Tamandua tetradactyla: one gene and its partners. The protein of the gene in region 2 interacts with the protein of the main gene of each other region in a pairwise test. Links are inferred from orthologs where the notes say so. Each region holds a gene or a part of one and is shown on either strand. Other genes may lie near its edges. The genes, in order: STX6, NAPB and STX16.

Region 1 (7,477 bases), on a different chromosome or scaffold from region 2:
AAAAGGGGTTGGATTCTGCAGGTCATAAAGTATTTGGAATTTATTCTGTAAGCAACAGTTAACATTAAATGATATGAACTAAGATACCCTCCCTGGCCTGAGTTCCGGAAAGGCTATACCTCTGCTCTCTAACACAGGAGCCACATGTAACTACTTAGCTCTTGCAATGTGGCTAGTATGACTAATGAATTGAATTTTAAATTTTAATTAATTTAAATTTTAAAGTTGACATGCAAATAAGTTATTGTAAAACTTTTAAACATGTCATGTAACAATTTGGGTAAGTGAATCTACTTTTTCAACTGCAGAGTTAATGAAACCAAACAACAGATCAAGTTTTTTGATGAAAATTTAGCATCTGCATTAAGATACACTGTATGTGTAAAACACACAAGAGATTTTGAAGACTCAGTATGGAAAAGATGTAAAATATGAGAATCTTTGTTAGTCACATGTAGAAATAATATTTTGAATATATTACGTTAAATAAAACATTACAACTTACTTTTTTACTCTTCATGGGTAGCTACTATAAATGTAAAATGACCTACTGTGGCTCACATTATATTTCTATTGGACAGCTGGTCTGGACCCATTCAAGGGTGGATCATAAGGGTAAGAGAATGGAAGCAGGAAGACCAGTTAAGAGACTCTTTGGTGACAGTTCAAATGAGAGATATGGGCCTACCTAAATTCTACCCACCTTCAAAACCTAGTTTAAGACCTACCACTACTTCCAAAATGCTTTTTCAATTATCAAAAATACTGAGAAGTTACCTTTCTCTGAACTCCTGGGGCACTTATTTTCTGCACTCACTTCAGCACTTAATCATTTACCACCTGTGCCATCTTGGGGTGGATTTTTTCCCTAAATCAGACTAAACTCCTAAGCCAGGGGCCATAAGTCAGGCATCTTTAATTTTTCCACAAGGTATGCTGCATTCTCAGTATTTTTAATAAACAGCATTACCTGGCTCCCTAAATACGCCATCTCACAGTGTGACAAAACCCAGTATATGACTTTACCTCCCTACTGCAAAAGGTATCGAGAATCTTTCTTCTTCAGACACCCTAAGGACATGAAGGTAAAATGAGGTACTAGAAAAGTCAACCAAAACTCCAGCCCAATTTTCCAAAACAGCAATAGTATCTAATTGTTGAGCAAGCACTCAACAACTGTATTGTATAATGTCAGGAAACAAAGGACAAGATGGCAGAGCAATTTAGGGTTTTCGCAAATTCCATTAAAACTCAAATAAACAAACTTAACAATGATCTCTAGCCTCCACTGCCAGAGATAACCTCTGCAACCTACACATTAATAACTTTCATTCAAGGGGAAAATATACGGTTTTAAAATTTAAAAGTTAACCCCTAAATCAATCCTTTCAATAAATTTTCCAGGTAGAGTGCCACATATTACCAGTATATCAGCATTTTCACGTCTAAATTAAAGTAAGATGGAAAAAAAAAACCCTTCTAGGGAAATGTTAACAAGTAGTATAAATATACTTTACTGTATCATGGATAACAAAATATTTCACCTAAAGTACCATTTAAATGTTCCGAGAAGAAAGGATGAGAGAACTCTTAAAAACAACAAATACCCAGCTCTGACCACTAGAGAAATAAAAAGTTAGTAGTAAATGGGTGAAAGCAAAAGGGACATCTTATGGTTATTAGTACTGATCTTCTAGGACCTTTGGAGTTCTCAGATTTTGAAGTCTGACATTTAAAACATGAAACTGACAAGTTACTAGGTATGTCACAACAACAGAATCAGATCCTTCTTGCATCTGTTTAATGGTTATAAAGTTGATATACAGAGTGAGATTCAAGTTTCCCTCTCCAAACAAACCATCGGATAATCAAAGCTGAATTCGAGACAACAGGGAAAAATAAATTCAGGCAGTTCTATTCTGAAAAGAGTAATATGAAGAAATGGGGGAAACCTATGAAACAGCCTGGCTGAAATCAGGGAGTTAAAAGAAACCACTCATTTCCTCTAGCACTGTGGGAAAATCCCGGCTGCTAACAGAAAGCTGAGGAAAGTTTAGCTTGGCTGATTTCATTCTGTTTTCCTTTCAACAACATCACTGAGCACGGACGGCTGTTTTCCTCTCATAACCGTGCTCGGTAAAAACTCCCCCACAGAATTAGGTTGTCTTCCGGTGCAACACGTCCCCGCCTCCCTCTTTCCAAACGTGCTCAGACGCCTCTGGGCATGTTGTGGTCTCCACAGTGTGCGGGCGGGAGCTCCGAGCTCAAAGGACAATGGGAGCTCACCCCCGTCCACGTTAACTACAAAGCCCAGAAGGTCCATTTCCCTTTTCCTGCCCAGATGATGTTTTCCCTTCTTCGAAAAGAGTCGCCTGCTCCAGAACCCTAGTTATGGCTAGGACTCGTGCTCCCTTCCCACTTGCAGAGCTGCTGAACCCCTCGAGCCCTCAAAAAGTTGTGCCGCAGCGCCCAGGCCAGAAGGGGCCCCCCACCAGGGGCGTGGTTGAGGCGCGAGTTCCACAGTCCAGGTGTAACTGGGAGGGGATGCTTCTAGACTCTTGGTCATGGCTCTAAAAGCCAAGCCGTCTCCACAGTCCTCTCCCCAGTCTCAACTTGCCTCCCCTCCCCCCTATAGCGAGAGGAGCGGAGAGGTGCAGGTAGACATTACAGACGCCCCCTCCTCCAGCGCAGCCCTCGGCCGACACTCACCCTTTCACCACAAAGAAGGGGTCCTCCATGGACATGGCGTTTCGGCCCCCAGTCCCCTCCCGCCTGCTCGGCGCACAGGACGCCCGCGCCCTCCTTGGCCTCCCTCCGTCCACCCACTGGCCTAGGGCAGCCTCCGGCGCTGCGGCCTGGGGAATCCAGAGCAGCGGGCGCGCGCGCAAGTCGGGATGCACGGGACAGCCGCTGGACCAGCACTTGGTCGCCGACGCCGGGAGGATTCCCCGACTCTGGCGCCGTCCCCCGCGGCAGCCTCTACCCGGGCTCCTCCAGGCGCGTCCTGCGGCCTAGCCCCGCCCCCAGGACTCTAAGCCCGGGCCAACCAGGAACGCGGCGCGCAACACCACTTCCGCACCCGCGCTCACGTGATCAGGGCCGGCTCCGCCCCTCGCCGACGGAGTCGGGACTCAGCACCACGCAACCCTGGGGGCGGGGTTTCTGGGGACGACGGAGGAGGGGCGGTCAGCCCCCACCTCCCCTCTCAGGCTGGAGGGGGAAGAGCAGCTCGCTCTGAAGTCAGTCCTGTTCTCAGGATAAGCAGTGGTGGTACCTGATGTGCACGATCCTTTTACCTTTTCTCTCCTTTTAATATTTATTTTGATAATATATGATTTGTCAATTCATCTCTTCCTCAGTTTACAATGAGGCATGGTCATATATATTATCTGATTATAATAATGTTATGCAAGATTATGTAGTTCTTACCATATTACGTGCTAAAGGTTGTAGTATGTATTATCTCAATATTCTTGTGGAGAAGCAGTTATTATTCCCATTTTGTAGACAAGAAAAAAATGGAAAGAGTGGTTTCAAAATTTACTGTGGTCACAGCCTGCACAGTGCTGAGCTACAGATTCTGTGCGCTTTCCGCCAGTCTGGGGTGTATTTCCTTTTGCTACACATTTGCAAATGGCTACGTAAGATAATTTTTTCCTAAAGCATATAGTGCTTCCCAGGAGCAAGAAACTTTGGAAGATTAAGAACAGGTGAGATATGCAACTTCCCCTGAAAAGTTTTTGCAGAAAGCATTTGGCCAGGGTGATTAGCCAGCTCATATGCTAGATATGCGATGGGTTTTGTGGATGGGGGTTGTCGACTTTAATTACTAATAATCACTGAGTGACAGGACTGTGCTAAGTGTTACCTCAGTTGCTCTCACAATGTAAAAATTCCTGTTGTTATGCCCATTTCGCAGGTGAGAAGTCTGAAACACAGGTTATGTGACTCACCCGAGGTCACTAGTCTCTTTGCAGATGGCAGAGTCCTCAGAGTCAGACAAACCCCATTTGAACTTGGGTTCTATGATTCAATTCCTCATCTATAAAATGTAAATAATAATACCTAGCTCAAGGCTTGTTATGAGGATTAAATAAGAATGCATAAGAACCATACACTCCAGAAGAGTGAGGGAGTAAAGTCAGGATGCTAATGTGAGTCAGGAAGCTGCTGTGGTCACCAGGTCACAAAGGAATGAGGGCCAGACCAGGATGATAACAAATGCAAATGAAGAGGAAGGAGTAAATTGGATAGGGGTTTCAAAGGAATAAAAAAAACCAAAACATGTAGACATGAGGAAAGATTGAATGAGGGTGGGGAAGGGAGAGACGTGAAAGTCAAAAATGACTCTATGCTTCTCTGAAACCCTGGAGAAGAAGCAAGGGGCAGATGTGGGGAAAGGCAACTATTTGGTGTTGGAAGTATGGTGATGGAAGTGAAAATGAAGCATCATTCATTCATTCATCAAAAATGCTGCATTGAAAGGCAAGTGAGCATAGTGATTAAGAAGCATGTTTTGGAACCAGACCGCCTACGTTCAGATCCCAATTCTGCTACTTCCTGTCATACCTTGGTGTTTCAGTTTCCTGACTGCTAAAACAAATACCATACAATGGGTTGGCTTAAAAACAGGAATTTATTGGCTCGTAGTTTTGAGGCTAGGAGCAGTCCAAAATTGAGGTGTCAGTAAGGAGATGGGTTCTCACCAGCCTCTGGAGTTTTGGAGCTGGCTCTTGGCGATCTTTGGGTCCTTGGTTTACTGCACATGGCAATGCACATGATGGTGTCTTCTCCTTTCTCTTCTGGGTTCAGTTGTCTTCCAGCTTCTTTCCCTGTAGCTTTTTTTTTTCTGTGTCCAATTTTCTTTGCTTATAAGGACTTCAGCCATATTGTATTAAAATCCACACTCATTCAATTTGGGTACACCTCACCTAATAACAAATGGATTCCCAGGACCAGGGGTTGGGACCTGAGCAGGCCTTTTGTGGGGGACATGATTCAATCCACAACACTTGGGCAAGTTGCTTAATCTCTCACCATACTCCATTGTGAAATGTGGACCATAATAACTCCCTCATAGGGTGTCACAAGGATTTAATTAGTTGGTGTGTGAAAGGTGTTTAAACGTGGCCTGGCACATATTGAACTCCTACTATGTGCCAGGCACTGAGGATACAAAGATGAACAAGGAACTCTCAGCCCTGTGGGAGAGGCAGGCAATTAGACACAGAGAGAGAAGGGCACAGGTTGCCATAGAAACACAGAGCCAAGGTACCCGTTTATTTGTGTGTGGGGGGAGGAGGCAGCCAGGAGAACGGGGCTGCCAGGAAGAAGGAATTCTAAACAAAGGCACCACCACATGGAGCAGCCTGATGGCCAGAAAGGGAGCCATGCAGGGGGCATTGCTGGAGTGGAAGGGATGGGGTGATGGCTGCCAGAGCTGCGGCTGGAGGTGGGCAGGGCGGGATGATGGGAGCCCTTGATCCTGTTGTTGAGAACTCTCCTGTAGCTCCCGGGGACGGAGGGAATGGACAGGTTTAGATTCACACTTGACACAGGTGTTGCCAAAATCAGAATGTCAGCTGCGAAGTCATGACCCAGGGGAGGGGGGAGGGGTGCCCTGAGCTTGGCCCACAGCAAGTAGGATGGAAAGGAGGGATACATTTGAGAATTATTTTAGGGTAGTAAGCTTGGTGACTGGTTGGGGGTATGCGGGAGTTAGTGAAAGAGAAGGAAAGAAGGCTTGCAGGATTCTTACGTTGTAAGTGGGTAATTGTTAGCTCCACTCACCCAAGAAAGAGAACACTGGAGTTGGATTAGATTTAGGGTAGATGTAAATTAGCTGTTAGCATATTTGGTCTTTTCTACTAAACTGGAAACTCCTGGAGAGAGGGGATACTATTTTATAATGTTATCACCTCAATGTCTAGAACAGCCTCATATTATCTGTTGCATGAGTTTTATTAATTGGATCACAAACGAGAGGTCCGAGTTTTACAATAAGTGAAATAGAGGATTGAGGACAGAGGCCTACAGAATGTTCATAATTCGGAGTTTGGAAAAAGTGCCAACAATCTAGATTGTGGAGGGTTGAGATATAAAATGTATTATGGGGGTGGTAGGGTGGGGGGTGAGGAACGTGTCTCTTTGTTTAATATGTCACCCTCCCTTACCTTCTTTCAATCTAGACCTTGGCCTCCCTTGCCCAGGGAAAGGGAAGCTATAGCCAAAAAGCGAGGAGAAATAAAGGAAGTCATTTCTTGCCTTTTTAGTTTAACTAGGCCCAGGCATGAACAATAGCTTGGGAAGAATACTCAGCATAAAACCATGGACCTACCCCACCCCCCATCCCCCCAAAATGAATTATACATTTTCAGTGAGCAAGAAATCAAGAAAAGAGTTGCTTGGTGGGGAGAAAGGAGGCTGACTGGAAGGGAAACTTTCTGGGGTGATGGTCTTGATAAAGGTGTATATTATCAAACCGTAGCACTTAAGTTCATTCATTTTGCTGGAGGAGACTGACATGCCAACTTGACTTTTCTCTAGAGGCCTGACAGGGGCATCCAGAAGAACCTCTGGGCCCTGAGTGAATCTCTAAAATTAGGAGAGTGAGCAATGGAGGGAGTTTCCTGGGGTCCTGCAAGGCATCTTGTGCTGCAATAAGGGGATGCCAATGCAGAAAATAGGGCACAGGTGGCCGGGCCACGGAGCCAGTGAGGACAAGGATCAGAAAGGATCAAATCACATCTTATTGCAAAGTATGCTAGGATGGACCTGAGGGAGATGGGGGCAGGTAGCCACCCTCGCCCCCACGAGTGTGGGATTTCCATAAGACCCCTACAAGGGGCCCTCCGTTCTCTAAAATGGGAGCAATAATACCCAACTTGTTCCTTAGTTAGGTTGTCATAAGGATCAGCTGGGAGGATATATGTGAAAGCATTTTGCAAAACACCGTAATTCCTTTCTAAAACAAGGCAGAGCAAGGAAGGAAAAGTATTACATAGATAATAAGGAATTATACTCTTCATCATTATCCCAACCTTTGAAAAACTGTGATGTGCATGTATGTAGGTATTTGTTCTGGGACAGTCCAGGAAACATTTGGTCCTGTTGGCTTCTAGTGATCCTGCTAAGTCTGTCCACACTTCCCACCCCCCACTGCAGGAACTGTCCCCTCACATAGCCACATGCTGGGTATGTTTTCTTTCCTCCCCTTGGTTGCTGCCAATACCCCCATCCTCACACTCTACACACTGACATAAAATAAACAAGGAGAAATTCTAGTCAACTTATATATCCAACATTAGGACATGATGGAAAATTTATGGTGTATCTATTTGATGGTCACTGTAAACGTTGTTTACAGGTATATAATGACGTGCAGAGCGCTTTACTCTATCGTTGCAGGGGCACCTTTGCTTTGACTGACAACTGCGGCTCTTTGTTGGACAGCAGAAGTGGCAGGAGGGTTCCCAGG
Region 2 (7,814 bases):
AACCTCAAACCTTTCTTGTAGAAGTGAACATCAACTAATAAAAAGAATAACATCAACTAATGGCATCAATAAATATTTTCTCATAAATTCTTATTTTAACTTAGTTTATCATTTTCTGTTTCCTCTGACAGATTTGTGTATATTAATTTTACCTTTCCTAAATTTTCATCTAAATTCTAGAGAATCATTTCCTAAGGAAATATTACTTGCTAACAAAACTACATTTAGAAGTATTTGTAACAAATTTGATATGGTCTAAAATGACCCCCCCACCCGTCACCACCACCACACAAGCCACTAGTGCTCTGAGTTTTTAAAAAAATTCTTAATAAAACACATATTCTTCTCGACTTCCCTATTCAAATGCTGCTGGTTTTGCAAGTCCATGTGGAAAAGGTAAAGAATCACTATGAATAGAATAAAATTCTATCCTCAAAGCTGTGGAAAGGGCAGGAGCCCAGCCTCATCCACAACAGTGGAGAACATTTATTTTCATTCATTTGATCACTTTAAGGATTTTTGGATGAAGCTCCTCCAGAACACATGACTATCTTCCCTGTTTGCTAAAACAGAACACAGCCTGATTTGGCCTGTACTGAAGCTTCTGAGCCATTCCCCAGGCTACAGACAGAGAACCAAGGTGGGGATGACCCTAGGGCTGCAGGACCGTGGCAAGAAGAAAGACTGGTCCTCAGCCTGGTGGTCCAGCTCCAATGGATGGGGATGGAGGCCTAGCTAGCTCTCACCTAACTGGGTTGGCTTACAATATCCACAAATCCTTTGGCACTCTCCCACTAAGAGATGAAGTCTAAGTTCCCTCCCCTTGCATGGGTCTCAGTGATTCCTTCCTTCAGTGAAGTAGAAAGAGGCCTCAAAATTTCAAGGCCAGGTCTTAGCGGGTGGCGCAGCTTCTGTCTGGCTCACTCTCCTCCTACCCCCTGTCCAGCCAGATGTACAAGATCCCACAGAGAGAAGGAAGCTGAGGGATTGTTCCAGGAGACTGTGTCTTCTCAAATGTCAGGCATGGGCATGAAGATGCCTTTGAATTTACTCTAGCTCCAGCCACCGTTCTATGGGAGAACCACTCTGCTAGCCCAGCCAATCCCTTGAACCATAAGCGATAACATTAAAATATGATTATTTCTGTTTTACACTACCAAGTTTGATGGTTTGATGGCGAGTTGGCCATAGATGAGAATGCCGATTTATGAATTTACAAGGAATGACTGGACAGGCAACTGGAATATGCCTATGGGTCTTTAGCGCTCACTCCCCCTACCTTAGCTTATGACTTCTCAAAGGTGAAGAGGCATGAATTTCCTGTTGAATGAAGTTAATGAAACCCCCACACCTGCAGCATTCAAGCAGAGGCCAAAGCAGACCCCCAGGGCAAACGGCAGGTGCTGGTAGCTGGGACGAACAGGCATGGAGCTACTACGTGTTAATTAGGGGCAGAAGTTTCTTCCTGACTATGGAACCAAAAGCTGGCCAGGGGGATAGATTCCTGCATGAAATGAGCTCAGTTAGTAGCTGCTGCTGGATCACTGAGAAATGGGAGCGTCCCACACTCAGTTCTGAGGAAATAATTTGTACCTGCTCTGGATTGTCAGGATACCAGCCTCCAGCAGTTCCAGAGGCACCCTACATTCATACCCTTTGCCCTCTCCCTCCTTGTTAGACTTCCCTTAGGCCCCTCCCCATGCTGCACCCTCCTATGCACGGATGCAGGCAGAGAATCACACCTGCTTCCACACATCTTCTGACCCTACCTCTCTTGGCGCCAGGTGTGCTCAAGGACACGCATGTCCTTATAAGAAGAAGAAAATTTGGACCCAGGCATTGGGGAGAAAGCCATGTGAAGGCCAAGGCAGAGATTCCATGCAACAGCTAGCTGCAAATCAAGGATTGCCGAGGATGGCCAGCCAGCACCAGAAGCTAGAATAAGCCAGGGAGGATTCTCCCCAATGGGTTTCAGAGGGAGCGTGGCCGTGCCAGCACCTGGATTTCTGACTTGCAGCCTCCAGAACTGAAACAATGCATTTCTGTTATTCTAAACCTCCCGGTTCATGGTATTTTGTTACAGCAGTCCTTCAGTCAGTGTCTAAAGAGTCTCCTCTTTTCTGGCAAGTGTCCAGGGATGCTGGAAGGCCAGCACAGACTACTGGACTTAATGTAATGATAGAAATTACCTATATTTGTGCAATCCAAAGTGGGAGCCACAAGCCAGGTCTGACTATTGAGCGATGGAAATGTGGCTGATAGAAGTGGGATTTACATTTTTAACGTTAATTAATTTAAGCGTAAACCTAAATGGTCACAGGTGGTAAGTGGCTGCCCCACGAGACTGAATGACAGGTCCTTTGGCTCTACTCCAAGACAACTACCACTCCAAGGCATTTTCACTCCCTTCCTCCCGTGAATGGGGCTTCTCCTTTTCCCTCCTGCTTGCAGGATTCTTCTTCTGTCTCTCTAGCCAGTCCTTATTCTGTTTGTCTGTCCTGCCTCTCCACTTACTTAGCCTCTGGGCGGAGAAAGCACAGCATCCACAGAGCAATTAAATCTTTGAAGTTTTCTCCCACTTTGGTGTGTACTGGGGGTAGGGGTAAAGGTGGGGGTTCCCTCTGGTTTCCTGTGAGAAAGAACAGAGTGAGGAAAATGCCCAGAAATAACCGAAATTTTTGAGCCACCCCTGCCAACCAAAATGGCAAATTCTAGTTCAGAGGAGGCAGTCCATTCTAGATCATTTTAAGCTGACAACAGATTTGAAGATCTAGAATTGTGTGCTTTAGAATAGTGGTGGAGAATTCTTTTTAGAATGTACATTTCCTAGACTCAGGGAGAGGAGATTCTGGTACAAAGCTAACAGCCCAGGGGTCAGTGTTTCTTGAAGCTCTAAAGGAGTTTCTGTGTTGAGCCAGGTTTGGAAACTGCGCTAATCCCCACACTGAGACCCTCAGGAGTTTTTGAGTTGGCCCTTCCATTCAGTACCCACCGGCTGCTCTGCTTTTCAAATGCCTATGTCCTTCTTTTACCATTTTCTGTCTTTACTTCTGCATTTAATTCTGCCTTGTTCCCTCATACTGCTCCAAATGCAGGTTTTTGAAGTTAGCATAATGCATATAGTGTAAGCAAATAAGCTCTGCTTGAACATCTGAGATTTCCTCCTGTCTGCCGTGTCTTGCAATGTAATGTTAAGTAAAATAAAGCAACTGCCTGCATTGGGCATTGCCAGGAGGGACCCCTCTCTAAGAAAGGATTTTTCAGAAGACATAAAATGATTGACCTTCAGGGGCTTTTCCAGAAAATGGAACAATGAAGCACACCCTACAGAACTGCAAATAAACAACACCTGGTGATAAACCAGTTTCTGTCCAATAAAGTTCGTTTATCAGAATGGACTTTCTGATAAACCATATTAATCAATGCATATCTGCTTTCATCCCCCATGTAAAATGGAAATTTAATATCAGTCAATCAGAACATTTCTCCACTTGATTCCCCATTTGCCCTATATAAGCAACCTCTTTCCACCTTCTAGGTGGACCTCCTTTCCACCTGCAGTTTGGATGCTTCCTGACTCATGAATCATAAACAAATCAAATAAACTTCCATAATTAATAGCTTGTCTAATTTTTTTAACAATATGAATCCTGTGACACAGGTTTTATTTTTCTTTCTAGGAGTTTCATCTTTTCTTGCTTTGCTCTCTAAAGACAGGCTTCATTTTCTTAGATAAAGCTTGTGTGCCAGTCCCCACAGTGTATTTATTAATGGTTTGAAATTGTCACAAAGTCTCATTTGGCAGTGATTTTCATATTTGTTTCACCATCTCTGCTTTAGCATTGCCAAGTGTAAACAGTCTAGACATTGCATTAAAAAATAACTCTCTGTGGGTCAGGTCTGGAAATCTCTGGCACAGGAGAGCCGCTATATCTATAGAGACTTCTAGGAGGTTAGAAGTCTTTCTGGCAGGCAGAAATTTTGTCCCAAAAGACCCACTGCCTATGGGCAGCGTTATGTAAAGGATACAGGAACTAGATGGTGAACACAATTCAAATCAATATAAAGAGTGGATTATGCATATTAAATGCCAAAGTATTTATAACCAAGGAAGAGAGGACAGACAGAAAGCCGCTTTGGGGAGACTTAAAAATAACTGAATTTCTATTGGGGGAAAATGATACATTCTTAACCATCTTGCTCTTGAGAGATAAAACTGGCTCTGCCAGCTGTTGCCTTTTGGGTGGGTGGATGTGGGCATCACATTGGCTGATGGAATAACTTTCGGTAGCTGCATTAAAATTTTGGATTCCATTTTGCGGACTTTGCATCTATATTGAGAGTTTCGACCTGTATGTATCCCCTGATCCTTCACTATTCCATTGTCAGTGGTCCTGAGCCAACAGGATGCTGTGTGTTTTAGGTGGTCCTTACTGGAAGCTACCGGTCAATTCCCAGGGAGAACAGTGGTGGAGCCGCTAGAAGGAACTAGTCCCCGCACACTGCAAATACTGAAGTCCACCTAGGCCTCTGGGTCCTGCAGCAGGTCACGCCCCGCTTTCCGAACCCAGAGAACCTGGGGTCTGTGAGCTAAGATAACCCGTCCGCTCCGTGGCCTTCTGGGAAATGTAGTTGCCCCCTCGCGTCTCGCGGCCATCGCGGCAGTGCTATGGATTACACTTCCCGGCAGGCCATGCGAGCGACGCCTGCGCACTCGGGTTGCGAGGAGGGAAGCGGTATCGCGGAGGCTCGTCGCGAGCCGGCTGAGGAGCTTGTGGCAGCTGCGGCGGCGGCGACATGGACAACGCGGGGAAAGAGCGTGAGGCGGTGCAGCTGATGGCGGACGCCGAGAAACGAGTTAAGGCCTCCCACTCCTTCCTCCGAGGGCTGTTTGGGTAAGTGCCAGTCCGCGCGCGCCGGAGGGGCCTCGGTCCCGGGACCGCTTCCCCGCAGATTGCCCCCACGTTCACTCCAGGACCCACTAGCAACCCTCCAGATCCCTCCAAGGTCCTCAGCCCCATGCGCCCCCAGAAATCCCCATGGAGAACTCAAGTCCCCCAAGACCTCCAGACCCCTACGAACCCCCCAGGGCTCCTTCGGAGCTTCCGGCCCCCACGCCCTCACCCCTCCCGAGACGTCCCGGGGCCCTTCTAAACCCCCTCGTGTCCCCGGACCTCCAACCCCCGGTGCGTCCTCCGGCCTGTGCGGGCCGTGCGTTGGGATGGGATTCTCTGGCGGGGGGTGTCCGCGGCGCCCGGGCGCCCCCGCCGCCTGGTCGAACCCGCTGTACTCTTGGCTGCGGGGCTCCGGCGGTCATTTGGAAGACCGGTGCTCGACCCGGGCCCCGGGGCCTCAGGAGAGCAGTGCGGGGCGAGAGCACAGGTGGGTACGTCCGGTCCCCGTCGAGGGGTTCCGCATTTGGGGATCAGGTGCCGGTTTCCCTAGCGCAGGGGACCTTGCACCGAGTGGTCACTTAATGAACACTGGCTGAGTAGGCGAATGCGTTTTCCCAGCATAGTATTTTTTTTTTTTTTACTTTATTAGAGACTGATTTAACAGATGGGCCTCCTGCTCGGCTAAGGATCACGCAGCTCAGGTTTAAGTCAGTTTCTTTCGGGAAGCCCGTTAATTTGCTGTAATTCTCTCCTCTCCAAGAGGAGGTTTAAATTCGGGACCTCTCAGATGCAGCAGCGCCTGCACTGACAGCCCTGGGGAGAATTCTGGGCTGTTGAACGTTGAGTGATTCAGCTATTTAGGATGTGAGAGGCTGAAATTTCTTGTTTTTTTCCCCCTTCTTTTTGAAAGAGCCTCTGCTGACACCGAAAGCAGATTATTATTTATTCCTGAGAAGGACCAGTGTTGTACATGCTTACCCGTTGAATTATTAGACACAGTTTTATTTCTGTACAAATCCAGTTTGGAATCTTAGTTCCAAAAGCACAGGTAAGGGACTCCTCACTTTTTGTACCACCTTTGTGGCTACTTCTTCACAAAATGCTTAAGTGCAGATTTTATATAGTGTGGAGTAGTGTGGGATGCAAAGAGAGGTAAAGATAATGTTTCTGTCCTCAAGAGCCCCTCAGTTGGAGGGCACTTATCCCAACTGTTTTAACTTTTTCATGACTGCAGGTACTTTAAATTATGACAGTGAATTATAAATTTTGTTTACTTTTTAAATGTATATAGAACACAGCCTAAATACTTGAAGTCAACACCAAACATAACTCCTTTCTCTGCGTCACAAAACATTTACAATGTATTGAAATAAAATTGAATGTCATACACCTCATCCTCGGAGGTTATCTTAATGTCACACCATATTTCAGGTCAGAATGTGCTTTCCTAGGAGGGAATCTGCAGTTGGTAAAAGAGAAAAGCTCAGCATAACATCACTTGATGCTTCTCTCAGGCTTCCACTCCTTTTTATGAAGAGGTATTTTGTTGTTTTTGTGAAACTAAGTCAAATCTTGAGCCAGTAATCCTAAAAGATTTTTTGAAAAGCCTTTTTTTGGTTGTTTTAGAGAAACATCTCTTTTTCTCCGTAGACTTTTGATCACCTATTTCATAGACAGGCTGTCCAGGAAGACTTTCATCTTCACCGTTTACACAAAATTTGAACTAATGGCGTCCCAGCTTACCTAGACAATAGGTCAGGGATGTTATCCAAGCTTTGACTTGGGGCATGTGACTTACCCTGTGTGTCTCAGTTTCCTCTTTTGAAATGGGAATAATAGTAATAATAGAACATCTCACAGTTGTCAGAGTTCAGGAGTCTATGTGTGTAAAATGTTTAGAACTGTGCCTTTTGAGGATGATTGTGAAAATATTAGTTATAATATTCATCAAAATTGCCAGTCCCACTTTTTATTAAGGAAGCAACTGAGGGCCAAATGGATTAAGGGGGGTTTCTAGGATTCCAGAGCGAGAGACTCTTAGGACCAGATCATTGGTCTTTTAAATGAAATAAAAGGAGTAAAAGAGTTTTGCAATCAGGTAACATACCATATAGGTATTATTTGTACTATAAAGACTGTATGTTTCCATTGACACTTGGCTCCAGGAAAGCCAAGGGGGAGGAAAAGTACTTAGAGCTGCTTATTCATGAGAAGGGACTAGTCACCTATGTCTTTGGTGTGTGAGGCTGAAGTCCCGACTTGCCTGCCTGTTCTGTGAGATGCCAGGGTTCTTCCCGCATTGCCACCTGCTGAAAAAGAACCAAAGTAGACGGAAGCCAGCCAGGAGCCACTGTGAACAGGGTCTGTTTTTCCAGTTAACTACTGGTTGGTTAAACAGTGATAGGTCTTTGTATTTGTGGAATTAAATGAAAACTTACTTTCTGAAGGATATACTTTCTGAAGCATAGTAAAAATATTAGTGTTGTCATGTACTTTGTGGCCATAGACAAAAACTAAAGAATTCTGTAGTTAATTGCAGATTTTCATTAGAATCTGCTAAATTTTCATTTAGAAGCTGCTAGTAGGATTTTAAACTAGTGTGGGACTTTAAACTAGCGTGGTGGGTAGTTTTGGATTGCTAAGGGCTCCCTGAGTAGTCTCTCCATTTTGTTCCTAAGAAAACACAGGTTGTAGATCACCCACAGGATGATCTAAGAAAATAGTTGCTTGAGAATGATGGAATCTTGATGGTCAATCCTATTTTCCTTTGCTTTTGAGTGTCCTCCATTTTCAAAAGTTCATAAAAAAGCCATAAATCCATCAGTCTTGGTGTAAATTTAATAAAATTCCCCATTGGGCTATCTTGAAATCATCCTGAATTTGTAATATATTAGCTGTCTGTGACAATCTGGAATATTC
Region 3 (7,878 bases), about 10 Mb from region 2:
CTGAACTGACTACCAGAGTATTATAAATGACCTGGCTGCTTTTAATGAATTGAGATTTTAAATGGTGAGACTAATATAAGTATGCAATATTTTAAAACGTATGTCTTATACAGAAAATTTTTTTTGATGTTCTGACTTAAGCATATCTATTTTAAAATGGTTTGATTTAGAAATCTGTTCTCAAGAAACTGTCTGTTAGCTGAATGTATTTGTGCATTTTTTGACATATCAATTTTTTCAAACTGAATAATTCAGCTATCCGTTTTTAATTATTTGATTAGCTCACGTATTTTAAATTGTCTGACAGAAAATCACTGTTAAAAGCGATCTGACTTAAAGATGCACTTTCAAAGAGCCGCCTGGCTCAGACACCAGGTCTTTAAACCATCTTGACTTGATTTAAAGAAAAAAAAAGAATTTGAATCTTATGTAATTAAAATTTTAAAAGCAAACAGTATCTTTTCAATCAATTGAACCAGATAGCCCTTAGAAGCATTAACCCGAGTTTTTCTTCCTCCATGAGGTGCCAAAAACCTCAAGCCAATTAAGGAACATATAATTCTTCTTATTTAACAAAACTAAAGTTCCACTGAGGAATTTTATTCTTTTCATTTCTACCCTTTATTTCTTGGCTTATTTCAGGGTATTCTCAAAATTGGCAGTGGAACCAGCCCATTTCCAAGCTAACAGACATCTTTACACTTTTCTCAGTATAATACAAAATTTCTTTCAGTCTATAAATACATAAAACCTGCAAATTCTTAACTAAATAAAAACTCAAACACACTGTTCCTGTTTTTTGACCTGAGTTTACTTAATTTTATTCCTGAAACTGCTGACAAAGGCTTAAAATAGCCTTTTCTCCATGAGTAATATGGTCAAAGACATTTTCCACATGTGGCTTAGTGAAAGGAAAGACTGTCTTTGTAGAGACCCTCTCTGTCAATAATCAAGACACATGGCACAATTTTTTCTGCAGCACTTAGATAAAATCATAAAGAAAAATAAATTAAGGCACTACAGTCCCTGAAAGGTGAAATAACTGTAAGATTCCCAAAGCTGTATATATCAAGTATCCTCTCCAAGGATCTGGTCTTGGGATGACTCCTTCATTCCGCATTACTGCTTCTATTCGAACCTCGCCTGTCTTCCCCCTACTGTGACTAGTTTCACAACTTCATTCTTCCATTTCGGATATCAGAGAGCTAAGAATTGTTATCATGTATACATCACTCAAACCCACCCCTCATTTAACAGAGCAGGAAACTGACACTCAGAAGAGGAAAACAGCCCCCCTCAAAACACAAAGTCATTACTATTCTGTCTCCTACCTCCCTACAAAAGACTACTTGCTGGGCTGATGTTTCAGGTTAATTAAAAAAAAAAAGTGCTATTTTGGAGGTTAATTTTCACATACACACCATGCTTTGAAAAAAAAAAAAAGTTCGAATCGAAGGGAAAGCTGAATTTCCTGTCTAGGAAATGGAAAACTGAAGGGCCTAGCACCTTACTGTTTCACAAGCACGAGCCCCCAGGAAAAACAGTGAAGCAATTATTCATAGGGAACACGACCACACAGAGGGCTGCGAGGCCATTAAAAGACCACGGTCGGAAAAACCTCTTTCCTCCTTTCAGGGAGGGAGGAGCTCACTTGCAAGGATTTGGGACGGTTGGTCCTGTAATCCAGCTCTTAGGACCAATATGGGGGTGGGAAGAGGATGCAAAACAAATCAAACAAAAAGCCTTCCGAAAGACTCCACACTTCCAAATCTTACTGTTACAACATATGCAAATTGGAGGCAGCCGGTCGTGCTGTGACGATGGGGAGGCGGGAGGGGGGACTGGGAGGGCTGCGGAAGTGAGGAGAGAGGGCAAGGCAGAGGTGGAGCAAGGGCCTAATGCTGGTTTTCCCCCATCCAGGGACCCTAGCCAAGAGGCCTTGCATATCCATATTATTCTTAGTCTTATCTTCTTTTTTTAAAAACAGAGAGACAGACAGAGACAGACAGACAGACACAGCCGCAGTGCACACGGTGCGTGTGTAGGAGACGCCGCCGGGAGACTCACCGCAGCAATGCTACGTGAATGCAGAGGGCTGGAGGTGGTGTGACTACTCACTTGCTCGGCTAACAGCTGCCGGTTTTGGATGGAATTATTCCGCAACAACAAGAAAGCGTCGGTTAAACGCCTGGTGGCCATGTCTCACCCTTTGTGACCCCCCTCTCAGGGGCCCCCCGCCCACTTAGAATCCTGATTTATTCACTTTCTTTCTCTTGGACTGGCCTAACCCGGCCCACCCAGCACAGAAGCCTCTCTTGACAAGGCCTCTCAGGCCTGGAGCCAAAGAGGAGCAGCTTTGCGCTTCGTCCTGGCGCAAAGACCCCTCCCCAAATAACCACCTAGGCTTTCCAATTGTCTGACTCCCCCTACCCAAGACCTAACTTCGATCTCCAAGCACTTAAATCCCCCCAATCCTTGCGTTGCGAGCCAACGTCCCAGAACCCCCACCCCAATCCAACCTTGGATCTACAAGCGTCTAACTCGCCAATCCGGCTCTGGACTGGGAGGCCCTGAAGCCCCCTACCCCCCTTAGTCCCTGAGACCCTCAAGGATCTCTGCCCTTTACCCCTAACGTGGCTCTTGAGCGTCTAGGCCGTGCCCTAAGACCTGGCCTTGACTCAGTTTCCCCACCAGGGGCCTGGCCTAGGCCTCCTAAGGCAATCAGAGCCAGGCCTAGGCTATGAACTCCAGGGCGCCTGGCGCCCCCTTCTTGAGCTGTGTCTGGGCCTGCTACGGCCCGGGCCCGAACTCCTGACCCCTCCCCCCGTCTTGGGCGGCCTGCTTCTCCACTGCTAGCCGGCTGCCGGCCTCCGGGAAGGCAGCAGGGCCTGCCTCCCGGCCTCCTCACTCCTCTTCTCCGTCTCCCTCCATCCCGGGATCTGACTGCAGTTCTGCCCCGGGCCGTTTCCGTGCTGTGGTCCCGGGTTCTGGAGTTCCCCCTGGCCCTCTTCCTGTCCGTCTCTCGCGAGTGCCCCCCTGCGACACTCATAAGCCCTGCTCGCAACGTTCCGGGCGCGGGAGCTCCCAGTCCCTCAGCCCCGGGCGCGGGAGCGCTCCGCCTTCTCTCCCGGGGTACTCCCGGGGCGCCCCGTTTTCCCTTCCCCGAGCGGGCCCGGGGACCAGGAGCGGGCGAACATGGAGGCCCGAGCCTCGAAAGTGTGGGCCCCAGGCGGCAAACTCGTGCCAGGGGCCTTGGCGCCTACAGTTAAGAGTGGAAGTTGCGCGGCAGGCAAATCTGGGCGCCCGCAGAGCCTAAGTTCGCTGAGCACGCGGCGTGCGGGCGAGTGAGGAGGAGAAAAGTTGGAGACGACTGCCTCTGGAGGCCGAGCACGCTCCACTGCAGGCGGCGGCGCGGCTCGCTCGGGTTTTTTTCTGTTCTGAAAAAAGATTTATCCGTAAAACAACAAGGGGGGAAAAAAAAGGAAGGGCGAGCTGCAGGTCCGCTTGGGCCGCGGCCTCCAGCGACGCGGCAGCCAGTCGGGGGTCAGGGGCCCCCGCCCGCCCCAGCTGCCACTTTCTGTAGGGGGCACTGCAGGGTTGTGGAATCTGAAGTGGAAAAGTTCCCCCGAAAACTTTGACACCTTCCTCCCCCCTCCCACCCAAAAGAAAAACCTACGACTTTTCTCTCCCGGGTGGGCCCGCACGTGCCGGTTGCAGGGCCGGGCCCGGGGCCCGCGCTCCCCTTAGCTCTGGCCAGGCGGGGACCTCTGCGCCCGCCTTTTCCTCCCCTTAGGCTGAGACCCCCGGCGCTGGTTTCCTGCAAACCCGGTCGGGGGCAGCTGCTGCGCCCCGAGATGCCGCCTGCCTTGTGGGGCGAGCGGAATCGGGCTGCGCGGAGCAGCCCGAGCCCGAGTATGGCGAGCAGGGGCGAGGAGGAGACCTGTGGCGGTTCCCAGCGCCTGGCTTCCAGCGACCCGCCGGGCGCCGCGGGGCCGCAGCCGAGAGCGGCGGGTCGGGGTCGGGGAGCGGGGCCGGGGACACGGGCAGGGACGGTTTTCTCTTCCCGGCGGAGCCGGGACCACGACGGTGCTGCGAGGCAGGGCTCGGAAGGGAGGTTTTTGTTTTTGTTTTTTAAAAAAACAGGCCCTGGAGAATCTGGATGCAGGCCCTCATTCATACACTTGCTTCTGAATTCAACTTTACACACACGTGTATTTGTTCCAAGCTTTTGCCGTGTGCTAAGGTCTGGGCTTGCAAAGAGGAGCGAAGCAAAACGAAGCACAAAGCCTGCATCCGCGGCTCGCGAACAGCTCCCAGCCTGGCGAGGGGCGAGCCGCTGATGCTCAGTGAGCCGCTAGAGTCTTTGCGATGGAAAGTACCGGAAGACCCGGGTGCAGCGCCGGGGTCCCCGGAGGGGCTTCAGCGAAATTGCTGGTGACAGAATACGTTCTTTTTTTAAAGGAGAATGCTTCTGTCCATTGGTTGTGTAACTAAAAATTAATTTTTAAAAATATTGGGGGAAAATATCAAAAATGCATTACCAAAAAAAGAAAGAAAGAAAGAAAAGAAAACGAAACGAGAAAGCCAGAGAGCTGGGCCGAGCGAATTAATTTCCAGGAAGGGGCAATGTCTCCCAGAGCTGGGGGAGAGGGGAGACACGCGCGCAAAAAGGGGCGCTTGTTGGGAAAATCATCCTGAGCGGTGGAAGATGCTCCAAAACCCCGCAGCCACTGGCAGCCGCTGCGTGTAACTGCAGGGGGCCTGCAGGGGAGATGGAGAGGCCGGTATCAAGGCAGAGACCCCGACTTAATGTGTCTTAGAGGGAAATTCGGGGAGCCTGTGCATGGACTTCTGGGCTTAGCCCAGCACCCCAGGAAATGTATGCCGAATGAAGGAGACTTCTGTTCCCACAGGCACAGGATCCCCCATAGTGAGATCTGATTTGAGTCAAACTGCAAGCCCCCCTGTTTCCTGCTTCAGAGAACAAGTATTTGTAAATAAGAACATGAGATTAGAAATGCTCTCCACACTTTGTTCCTTTCTCTTGAGCACTCATCACCTCAAGCAAAGCAGTGACTTGTTTACTTCTGGTTCTTTTCCCCAGGCTAGAACCCCATCTTCCTCCAACGCGGGGACTGTGTTTTATTCATCTTTGTACCCACCGCTAGATCATCAGGCTTGGAACAGGCAGCTCATCAACGTTAAAAATGTGCATGAATGAATGAGACACCCGAGATTTAGTCCCCAAACTATATGACTTTCCTCAAGTGACTTTGAGCCTGTGGAGCCCTTATCTGTTAAGAAAGAGAAAAAATGTGGGGTTTAATAATCCTTGTAATCCGTCCCCTGCCTACCTCTCTGGGGCTATTGTGAAGATCAAAGGAGATAAGTGAAAATGCTTTGTAAACTATCAGGTGCTGAGCAAATATTGTAGAGGGTGGTTATTCATTCATTCCCTCTGCTTGGAAAGCTTAACAGAGTAATTCCTGGGCTTGTGTTTCAGCAGATGGTGGTGGCCCTTCCTGGTCAGCCTTAAATATTTATTGTGGGACAATCTCATTCTTATGAGAAATCAATCAAGCTTCCATTTCTTGGAGAGAAATGAACAGTGCTTGCACGCATAAATAACGGAAGAAAAAAAATCCTCATATTCCCAAAACAGCCACCCTCAAACAACCCAAGAGCCCAACAGCAGAGAAATCATGGAGAATCCATGAGATTGGCATAGCAACCCAAGGGTCTCACTGTGCAGTTATAACCCAGTCCAGGCCCGGGGTTGTGTGCGTGAAATAGTGTTAAGTGAAAAGAAGGGTGGCTCAGCCAGTGTGCATACTGGCTTCAAGTGTGTCGATGGGCGCCTGGACTCACATTGGAGGGGAGGTGGGGAAGGGTGTAAATCATTTTATTTGAATGTTCCTTGGCTGTTTTATTTTCCTGTGGAGTGGCTTAAGACTGATTTCTTTTTTTTTAAGCGTTCCCTCATGGCCAAGTATGTGTTTCTTTGGAATTGAAATCTAGGTTGATGGTTTTATATTTTAAAAGCTTTCATTGTGACTCATTTTTGGCCTGGGATAAGATTCTGTGATACTCCCTGAGCTTAAAGAGCCTCGGTGTCCTGTTTCTTGGGCTTTGTACCCACTTTCTAACATTTTGCTGATGATCCAAGAAGTCACTTTTGGGGACAAGTGTTGTATTGTCTTTTTGCCATCTTAATCAGTGCTGAAGGGAACCATAAACATGGGCTTTCCCTGCTGAAGACAGACAATGGCAGGAGAAGGCTTTCAAGTCCTGACAGGTTAGTGATTAGACAAAATGCAAGATTCACACCCTTTGGTGAAGATGTTTTCCTAAGACAGGGCTCCTGAAGCCCCTCCACAGGCCAGCGTATAACAAGGACTCCATAAGTGGGTCGTGTGCTTCATTTGAGGAGTGGTCTTGCCAATAGAAAGCACACATGCATTCTGCCTCCTCTGGAAGATACCACATCAAACTCCAAAGTGGAGGGCATGGTGGTGGGAACTGGATGCCATCCAAGGACACTTTCAAGATTCTTGTTCTGTTGATTGGAAATCCAGATGGGTCTATGATGTACCCTCGGGTGGAAGCTGGGACATCATGGTCTCAAATGGATGTATTTTAACTTTGTACTTTCCAGATCCTAAAGGAGGGCCAATGGTCATTTTTTATCAAGATAAGCAGAAAAAGTTCCCAAGGCTAAAAAATGTCTCATCTCCACAGATCTGACATACCAGCAGAGTTCTGGCCAGATTCAGGAAATAGCAGCTTTGCATTCTGTCTCTCCAAATAGCTCTCAAAATCTTGAGTATTTTCAAGCTTAGGAGATTTCCCAGCTCTGCCCATCTTCTGCCACAATGCCTTTCCCAAGCAGAGGCCCTAGAGTAAGGCAGTATTTCAGTTTTTTTCCCAGACTCCATTACCTTTCTATATCCAAACAATGCCATTTGGTAGGCATTCTAAAAGTCTAGCAGCAGCTGTGTCCCGTTGTGGCCAGGCGCTGGTAAAAGCAAGGAGACAGAGCAAAATCTTCACCTTCAAGGAATTCACAGTGTTTGCTACCTCTGTTCAAGTCCTGGTTCGCATCAAATGGGTTTCAGCAACAGTCTCCTGACATCCACTGTCTCTTTCCCTCCATCCATCCTCTACCCTGGAGCTGCAGTGACCTTTCCAAAGCACAAATCTGATCATGTCACTGCCTGATTGAGGCCCTGAAACAGCTCCCTCTGGCTCACACCAGCAGGTCTCAGACCACGCTTGGCAGAAAACAGGTGCTCCTGCTGAACCAAGCCAGGCCATCACCACCATTAACCAACGACGGTCTTTTCTTGGTTGGCAGAAAAAAATTAAACTAACTGATAGAAGAGCCTCCATTTTAAGTGTTTCTTCCATCACTTTCTCTTAATTCTTTGGTCCCTGCTACCAGTTGGCTGTTTGAGAATATAGTATAAGATGTCTCTGATTTCTCACAGACTCATGAATTCATTAAAAAAAAAATTTTTTTCCCCCCATTTTCTCATATGGGCGTTCTGCTCTTTCAGCTTGGTGGAGAGCCCTTTGGGATGAAGGCCTGGCAGTCAAGGACCTTCCCAACAACCCCACCCAAATGGACAGCCTCTCAGTCTAGACCTGGGCACATGTGGTCTCCTCTGCCTAGAGGATCCCCCAGTCTCCCTACTTCTGCCCAGTGAACTCTTTCTTCCAGGCTTAGTGCCACCTAGTGTCTAGTGTAAAAAGCATTTATAGAATGGATGAATGGAAAGAGAAAATTAAATCTATGCTGCAGGAGAGGATACTGGATAATTAAGACACTAGCCTTCTATTCCTCCAACTGCCTTAGGATTGCTGTTCCCTCCTCCTGTC

The links.
Region 1: the proteins of NAPB (region 2) and STX6 interact in binary tests that used the Homo sapiens proteins (3 or more experiments, as listed by UniProt). The two-hybrid records come from large-scale screens. The link is inferred for Tamandua tetradactyla from reciprocal best matches to the Homo sapiens genes NAPB and STX6.
Region 3: the proteins of NAPB (region 2) and STX16 interact in binary tests that used the Homo sapiens proteins (3 or more experiments, as listed by UniProt). The two-hybrid records come from large-scale screens. The link is inferred for Tamandua tetradactyla from reciprocal best matches to the Homo sapiens genes NAPB and STX16.

Annotation. Positions count from the first base shown.
Region 1 is NC_135330.1:35,928,323-35,935,799, forward strand, and holds the start of STX6 (syntaxin-6), read right to left. Parts: upstream 3,007-7,477; 5' UTR 2,745-3,006; coding exon 2,710-2,744; intron 1-2,709. UniProt on the Homo sapiens protein: SNARE promoting movement of transport vesicles to target membranes. Targets endosomes to the trans-Golgi network, and may therefore function in retrograde trafficking.
Region 2 is NC_135327.1:36,697,884-36,705,697, forward strand, and holds the start of NAPB (beta-soluble NSF attachment protein), read left to right. Parts: upstream 1-4,717; 5' UTR 4,718-4,797; coding exon 4,798-4,895; intron 4,896-7,814. UniProt on the Homo sapiens protein: Required for vesicular transport between the endoplasmic reticulum and the Golgi apparatus.
Region 3 is NC_135327.1:26,691,364-26,699,241, forward strand, and holds the start of STX16 (syntaxin-16), read right to left. Parts: upstream 3,012-7,878; 5' UTR 2,200-3,011; coding exon 2,068-2,199; intron 1,989-2,067; exon of another isoform or gene 1-1,988. UniProt on the Homo sapiens protein: SNARE involved in vesicular transport from the late endosomes to the trans-Golgi network.